Linked DNA regions of Mus musculus. The protein of the gene in region 1 binds, or shares a complex with, the protein of each later gene. Links are inferred from orthologs where the notes say so. Each region holds a gene or a part of one and is shown in the gene's direction. Other genes may lie near its edges.

Region 1 (3,938 bases):
GGGGGCTCCTTTTTTTCTCTCAGACCTGTAACCCCTCCCCCTGAAAAGACATGTTTTATTTTCTCTTTGCTGTTAGCTACTAAGGATTTTCTCTCTCAGTTTAGAAAGCTTTAGTCCTTGTCAGCTTAGTTCACAAAAAAAGGTCTGTATTTCTTGGAAGGCAATAAACAAACAAACAAAAAACTATTGTTTTTTTTCTTTAATTTTTTTCTTAGTTTATATTTATTGTATGTAATGATGGATAAGATTCAAGCACATAATTTTCTTTTAACATGTGTGTGCCTCTTCCCCCAACATTAGCTTCACTCTTTTTCCCAGATAGTCATACTTTTATTTTCTTATCATCTATGTGTTAACTCATATATAAAGGCATTTCTACACACACACACACACACACACACACACACCCCTAGATCCACATATGAGGGAAACTTGTCTGAGTAAGGTTTACTTATGTGTATACAATCCCACAATCTTTGTCTTTTCCCCATGTGTGTGACTTTATGTGTATATGTAAAGCAGGCTCCACACTAGGAGAAAAACATACTTTTTTTTTTTTTTAAAGTCCGAGTCTGGTTTATTTTACTTCCTATGATGAGGATTCTCAACCCAGTCCACTAGCGATGTGCTCCGCGTTGGCTTCTGCACACCGTTCCCCTGGCCCGCCGCTTCGGGAAAGCGTAAGCCGCAATGGCACTTTGATTTTCCTACGTCCCGGGGCAGCCCCGGGGTCCGCAGCTCCACCTGGCTCGGCGGCCGGGCGCACAAAGAGCGGCGCGGGCGGCGACGGGCCGGGACGCAGAAAGTAGTCCCGACCACGCCGGCCCCAGTGTCGGCCGACGTCGCCTCACGCCCTCCGCCGCCCGGGGAAAGAATCCCATCGGAATGCGCCTCGGGAAGACCTTATCCCCGCAGCGTGCGGGGGCTCGCGAGGCTCAACCCGCGGGGGCTCTCCGGGGAGTCGGCGCGCGCGGCGGTCGCGGCTCCCGGGGTCCGGCCGCGGCGCGCTGAGGACGGGGGTGGGGGGAGTCGGGCGCGCAGGGAGACGGCGGCGGCCCCGCGGCGGATCCCTGCGCCGCTGCGAGAGGAAGAGGCTGAATGAGGCGCCGCGCGGGGGACGTGGGGCGCCGCGGGAGGAGGCGGCGGCATGGGGGCAGGCGCTGGCGTCGCGCGAGCCCGGGCCGGAGCGGCGCGCTAGAGCCCTGACGTGCGCCCTTTTCTTTCTTCTCGCGGCCGCGGAAAGCATGAGCGTGCAGACCCGCCGCTGCGGCGGCCGCCCCGGCTCCTCGCCCGCGCGTCCCCTGGCCGCCGGGCGCCGGTGAGGGCCGCGAGCGCGCGCGGTGGTGGGGGGAAGATGGGGGCCGTGCTGAGGAGCCTCCTGGCCTGCAGCTTCTGCGTGCTGCTGAGAGGTGAGGCGAAGCGAGGCGAGGCCGGGGGAAAAGTTGCCGGGGTCCCGGGAGGGGGAGGGGAGGTGGCGGGGACAGCGGCGGGGACAGAGGCCTGGCGCTGGGGAGCCGCGCGAGGAAGGGGCCCGCGGTCGGGGGCCGCGCCCGGCCGCCGCGCACACCCCTGGCCGGCCCCGCGGCGCCGCCGGACAAAGCTGCGGGCCTCGGGGGGACCCCTGGCCCCCCGCACTCCATCGGAATGACTGACGGTGCCCGGCTCGCCTGCACTCGGGGCAGAAAGGGGCTTTTGTAGTTGCGCTTTCAGCACCATTGGTGTTGACCTCCCTCTCCCTCGAAGCCTGAGCTCACCTTTCCCGTGTCTCTTAGGTGAACTTTTTTCTTCTTCTTTAAACCCCACTATTTTTTTTTTCCTTCTCCCCTCTCTAGGCCTTGTTACAACTAATAATTGTCTTCCGCGGGGATAGAATGGTCCTGGGTGAGAGCACAGTTGGAAATTGACTCTAGGGTGATAGGTCGCGCTTTTCAGCATTCGGGATCATCTGAGCCCATAATAAAAACACAAACGTTGCCCTCGTAACCCCTGGTATTCAGGACTCGCCCCCTGTTTGCGGAGTGTGCAAGTGTACAGTTGGCACCAAGTAGGGAAGTCATCCTTGTGTGGCGAGGAGCCTATCCTGGGAACTAAATTATCATTTGCTGGGCACCCCTGGGAACTGCTTGGCACTTTAGTAAATAACAGAGAATGCCCTGGGTAATTTGCTATGGGAATCGCTTAAACGTAGTGGCTCTGTGGTGTTTTGAATTTGGACTGTGAGGCTGAGACGTACGTCCTGACTTTTTGTTGTGTGACAGTTTGCAATGGAAACCTTGTCGACTGGTCTTCAGTTGATGAGCGATGGGGGCTGGTGCCATGGAGAGTGTTGCCTGTGCAAGAATTGAGGTGCTGTTTGACGCCGTATCTTGTTGTTCGCTTTTGTTAACTTACCTGTGCCAGTTAATGGGACCTCTCTGGGATTCTTAGTTATTAATTTAACAAGCTCAACGTTTAAGTCCGTCAGAAGTATGGAAGTTTGCAAAGTAGGATAGTAACTAACAATCTTATGATGTAAATGGGACAGCCTATCATCTATGCATGTGTGTATTTGAATAAGACTATTTGCCTTAAAACCCCCCCACCATTTTCTAAAAATAAGCGTATCCCGAATTGTCTAGTCCTTTTTGCAAATACCAGAAAGATAATTGCTGTTTTAATTTCCATGGCAGAGAACTCAATGTTATTACTCAAGAGATTTAATAATCAAGTGTTTATTTTGTTATAGTAAACTCTACATTGAAAGATTTTGCTGTAGCTGTGAGAAAGTTGTTATTAACATGTGAATATGATTGACAAGTTCATAAGAGTTAAAATGTAGAACTAGTGGATTGATTTAGAGTTGGGAAAGTCTAAATCTGTGACTTCTGATGGCTTTAGCGCCTGAAAGTCCAGCTGCCATTCTTAGAGGGGACATAGGACTGTTTGTTTATTTTGATAACAGGTTTGAGCCTAGAGTTGAGTAGATTCATGCATGAGTTTGGTTTAGAGATGGTGAAGCATGATATTGTGTGTAACAAGATCAAGAAGAGGTAACTGTCCGAAGTGGAGCTTATTTAAATGTAATACAATAATGCTAAGGAGGTCTTTGTTTTTCTGTTTAGCATTATTTAATTGTGAGCATATATCATTCCAACTGAAACTGTCTTTTTGGTGTAAACGATTCCTAATTTAAAGTTTCTTCACTTCTTGGCACTGTTAGCCTCTGTTATAAGTGACAGTCACCCTTGGTTTCCCAGGAGCAAAGTGTGATTTAATTACTTGTAGTTCCCAGAAGAGGTGGTACTTTTACTTTGGGTTTGTGATGATGTGTGACTTTGGGACTTTGTACCTTATAGCCTTGTTTACTCACCAGCAGTTGAAGGTCATTTAATACTGCCATCGCTAGGCTGCACCCTGTCCTAGTTACCAAGTGACAAAGAATATTGGGAAAAACTTGAAAGTTGAGGATTTTAGCACCATAGACTTGAGTTTAAAGCTAGATCTTCATTATTTCTGCTTCTGGTTCTCTCTGTCTCAGCTTATCTATAAAACATGGGTAATAATACCTGTCTGGCTGATTTGCAAGGGTTATTAGGTGTGTTTAATGAAGTAACATAGGAGTGCTTTCCAAATATTAATTAAAAAGTTTTAAAGACAGGATCTTTCTATGCTGCCCAGGCTGACCTCCAAGTGCAACTCAACTCTTCTCCTTTCCCAACCTCCTGAGTGTGGGGGTCACAGGCATGCCTCCCCATATATGGCTATAAATAGTGTTATTTTTATATGTGAAAATTTTTTTTTATTATTTATGGATGTGTCCTCAATTGTTGGTGATTAGAGATTTAATTTGTTTAAGATTCAAGAGTGCTTAAAGTAGATGATATTGTTGTCATTTGTAAGAAGTTGGGGCACAAAAAAAAAGTTGGGGCACTCTCTGTCAGCTAGTTCATTGTAGAGCA
Region 2 (4,291 bases), on another chromosome or scaffold:
AGGGGCTACAAAGGACATCTCAGCTCACCCTCTCCAACAAGGATTTCAGATCATTTCTTCCTTTTCAGTCTCATACAACAGTTGCTTGTGGTCTCAGATTTATCGATCTGTTCTTAAACATTATCCATTCACATTTCTTATCTTTTGTTATTTCATGACAACTGTCTCTTTTAGCACTGTGATGGTTGGATAAAAGACTGACTTTAATAAAAGTCATTATTACATACATTACCGCTAATTTATAAGCACGGCATTCTTATGTCCATGTTGTTTCTTATTTTACACACTGGGCGAAACCCCTTCAAATTCATTCTCTGATTTAGGTTCAGCACTTCTTTTCCAGGAGGTCCTCTGTTATCTCCCTAGAGGGTTATTCCTCCTGTCCTGTCCTGTCCTGGACGAGGTTTGATTTGGGATCAAAAGCAAGCCCTCTCCTGCTCAGCGATATGAAACACTAATGAGAAAGCCGGGAGCTAAGCCTTCGGGTTTCTTATCTTCTTCTATTAACCCACCGCTGGGAACAGGGAACCAGGGAAAGAGGACTGACCAGGCTCAGGGACCCTGTCCGCTCTGGCTCAGAGCCACTTTGATCTCATGTGTCTGCTTAATCAAGTTCATCTACTGCTGGGATTGACCAGATTCAAAGAACCACATTAAATAGTTTGATTATCGGGTGCCTATTTCCCTCTCCCCTCCATCCCTGATTTAATTTCCAAACGGCAGTCTCTCGCCTCCACCCCCAACCCCCCCAAACTCACCATCAAAAGCGAATTAGTTCTTCCCTTGGCATCCTCATTTGATGTGCAAATTTTCTTGTCTTTGCACATTTTTTTTTCTCCTGGTGTGTGTAGGGTTGGGTGGGGGGAGGGAGGGAGTGGGAAGTGGGGAAGCAACTAGACAAACTTAAAAGACAAGAACCTCATTTGCAAATCGCAACGCTAAAGGGTTAATCAGCAACTATAGGAGCCACCTGGGCTTTTCACAAAACCTTTGATGAATGGCTGCTCGCATTGTATTTAATACTGAATATTATTTGCGTGCGCAGAAAGCGAGGGTACTCATATGGGGAAGAGAAGAAACGTGGTTTTGTATATTCTATCACTTTTAACTCTGACAAGGATTTCAGACAGAACTAACCCAGCCCCACAGCAGAACACTCAAGCTCACAGAGTGCACCCTCCCGCCATTTATTTATTTATTTATTTATTTATTTATAAGTTTGGGCTAGGCTCTAATGCTCTAGTGCTCTAGTGACCCACACTCTAAGGTGAGCTGGACAAGGGGACCACAGTGCAAGGGAGGGGCGAGGGGAGAGTGTCAAAGTCCTCCCTGCTTCCGACACACAAACACTCCCCCTCCCAGCTCCTCCCAAAGCTTTGAAATCCCATCCCGGCTTTGTTGTCTTCCCTGAGGAGCTGGGAGGGCTGGGAGCCTGAGTATAAAGGCAGCCAGAGGTGGCGGTGGCGGTGCAGAGCTGTGCGCCTGGCAGCCAGAGACTCCACCAGCGGAGGTCCCGAAGTTGAGGTTCCGCAGTCCAGACTCTGCAGCCAGCCGCCGTGCAAAGTGACCTCTCTTTTCCTGACCTTTGCCTGTTTGCGTCCTTCGGAGATGATGGTTGTGTGTGCAGCGGCAGCTGTCCGGTTCTTGGCCGTGTTTACAATGATGGCTCTCTGCAGCCTCCCTCTGCTAGGAGCCAGTGCCACCTTGAACTCAGTTCTCATCAATTCCAACGCGATCAAGAACCTGCCCCCACCGCTGGGTGGTGCTGGGGGGCAGCCGGGCTCTGCTGTCAGTGTGGCGCCGGGAGTTCTCTATGAGGGCGGGAACAAGTACCAGACTCTTGACAACTACCAGGTAAGAGGGGTGCTGTGATCCCGACGGGGGTCTCAGAAAGATCTAGGTGTGTGAGATTTGGGGTGTGTTTGGAATCACTGCATTAAGAGCAGCGCGCTTAAGGGGCTTTTGAAGAGGCAGATGGGGACCTTGAAGGTGTGGGTACCAGGATGCTTGAGTTGCTCACCAGTCCGCTCCCTTCCCACAGCCCTACCCTTGCGCTGAAGATGAGGAGTGCGGCTCTGACGAGTACTGCTCCAGCCCCAGCCGCGGGGCAGCCGGCGTCGGAGGTGTACAGATCTGTCTGGCTTGCCGAAAGCGCAGGAAGCGCTGCATGAGGCACGCTATGTGCTGCCCCGGGAACTACTGCAAAAATGGTGAGTCTTGGACTCCTTTTTAAATTAGAACCACCTTGCCTTTGAGGACCCAGGAATCAAATGAAATGCTCTGGTTCTGTCAAAGCTAAGGTGGCGCCACCTGCAAACGCGTGCTCATGCAAGGGTTCTCCTGACACATCGTCACTGGCTTGTGTTTGAGCACTTGAAAGTTTATCTTTCCTTGCCTCCCTCTGTGATCTAACAACAAGACCTGAAAGTGGACCCTTCCATCAAACAATTATCTTCAGGGAGCCTTGGGGCACTTGAGAAAGGGGGAGAGGTCGTTCTGAAAGGGGAGCCAGACGTTTTTTTCTTAAGGTGGACTCTGCGTGGCTTTGCCAGTCTCTCTTTCCTCTAAGGCTATTACAACTGTTGTCAACGGGGAGCTAGAATGATTAATCTCTGCTGGCCAGCTTTTAAAAGAGATCTCTGTACCGCTTACACCCCTAGCTCTCCATCCCTTCTCCCCTTTCCCTCCACCCTCAACTACCTTCAAAGAAGTACTGCCCCCACACACACACACACACAACCACAGATCCACAAAATGTTAATGTCTCAAAGAAGTCTCCAGAAATAAACTTGAGGGGTGGCTAACTTCCTAGGTTACAGCAGCATTCCAGAGTCAACTCACTAAAATCTCCGTAATATCAAAATTATACAGTAAAGTAACTAGCGGGTGAGATCGCAGTCTTCCAGGCAGCCGGAACTGCATTGCGCAGCTAGCACCCAGAGCAGAGAAGTTATTTTTTAAGATTAATTTCTTTTAAGTGACTGGATTTCTTTTTCCTAGCCCAAAGGGTAATATTAAAATAGACAGAAAAGTCTCTACTGCCTCCACTACAATTAGTAGGAAAGCATTTAAAATGGCTATACCTGAGGCGTTCCATACGATTCGACAGTACACTCATTGATACTGCTTTCTCTGGGGAGTTTTGGTAAATAGAAAGGCAGCAACAGCAGTGAGGTAACTCACAGTGGTGTCTGTATAACCCACTGCTCCTGTCTTGGCTATTAGCAGCAACAAACTACAGCCTGAGGATTAATCACTATTTCTGGTTTTCTTAGGAATATGCATGCCCTCTGACCACAGCCATTTTCCTCGAGGGGAAATTGAGGAAAGCATCATTGAAAACCTTGGTAATGACCACAACGCCGCCGCGGGGGATGGATATCCCAGAAGAACCACACTGACTTCAAAAATATATCACACCAAAGGTAGTAAAGGGGCTTTCAGGCTCAGCCTTTCCCATTTAATATATCAGAAGTGCATTTAGAATTGTCTCAGTGGGATGGTACAGGCCTCGCAGTAACTGTAATTTTCCTTCTGTCTCCTTCACAGGACAAGAAGGCTCCGTCTGCCTCCGATCATCAGACTGTGCCGCAGGGCTGTGTTGTGCAAGACACTTCTGGTCCAAGATCTGTAAACCTGTCCTTAAAGAAGGTCAGGTGTGCACCAAGCACAAACGGAAAGGCTCCCACGGGCTGGAGATATTCCAGCGCTGTTACTGCGGGGAAGGCCTGGCTTGCAGGATACAGAAAGATCACCATCAAGCCAGCAATTCTTCTAGGCTCCACACCTGCCAGAGACACTAAACCGACAGTCTAAATATGATGGACTCTTTTTATCTAATATATGCTACGAAAATCCTTTATGATTTGTCAGCTCAATCCCAAGGATGTAGGAATCTTCAGTGTGTAATTAAGCATTCCGACAATACCTTCCAAAAGCTCTGGAGTGTAAGGACTTTGTTTCTTGATGGAACTCCCCTGTGATTGCAGTAAATTACTGTGTTGTAAATCCTCAGTGTGGCACTTACCTGTAAATGCAGCAAAACTTTTAATTATTTTTCTAGAGGTGTGCTACATTGCCTTGTTTCTCTTGCATGTAAATTTTTTTTGTACACGGTTGATTGTCTTGACTCATAAATATTCTATATTGAAGTAATTTTGGTTTACAGTTCTTAAATGTGTAACCCTTTCTGCTTCAATGTCTAGGGGGTCGAATGTAAGGAGAAATGGAATAGTCGGTGATAGGCATCTAAAATTTAACATGAAAGTATCAGTTTATTTCCTGAGATGTG

The links.
Region 2: the proteins of Lrp6 (region 1) and Dkk1 are in contact, whole or in part, in a crystal structure (PDB 3S8V), measured with the Homo sapiens proteins. The link is inferred for Mus musculus from reciprocal best matches to the Homo sapiens genes LRP6 and DKK1. Residues at the interface, in NP_001401174.1 of Homo sapiens: Arg639, Glu663, Ser665, Ile681, Tyr706, Glu708, Thr724, Arg751, Trp767, Gly768, Gly769, Pro771, Val790, Gly791, Arg792, Asp811, Thr812, Asn813, Leu814, Pro833, His834, Phe836, Trp850, Ser851, Tyr875, Met877, Arg1184; in NP_036374.1 of Homo sapiens: Glu185, His204, Phe205, Trp206, Ile209, Gln218, Val219, Thr221, Arg224, Arg225, Ser228, Gly230, Leu231, Glu232, Ile233, Phe234, Arg236, Ser258, Leu260.

The regions. Positions count from the first base shown.
Region 1 is NC_000072.6:134,564,114-134,568,051, reverse strand, and holds the start of Lrp6 (low-density lipoprotein receptor-related protein 6 precursor), read left to right. Parts: upstream 1-1,138; 5' UTR 1,139-1,354; coding exon 1,355-1,409; intron 1,410-3,938. UniProt on the Homo sapiens protein: Component of the Wnt-Fzd-LRP5-LRP6 complex that triggers beta-catenin signaling through inducing aggregation of receptor-ligand complexes into ribosome-sized signalosomes.
Region 2 is NC_000085.6:30,546,697-30,550,987, reverse strand, and holds the start of Dkk1 (dickkopf-related protein 1 precursor), read left to right. Parts: upstream 1-1,491; 5' UTR 1,492-1,608; coding exon 1,609-1,854; intron 1,855-2,041; coding exon 2,042-2,210; intron 2,211-3,275; coding exon 3,276-3,425; intron 3,426-3,549; coding exon 3,550-3,803; 3' UTR 3,804-4,291. UniProt on the Homo sapiens protein: Antagonizes canonical Wnt signaling by inhibiting LRP5/6 interaction with Wnt and by forming a ternary complex with the transmembrane protein KREMEN that promotes internalization of LRP5/6.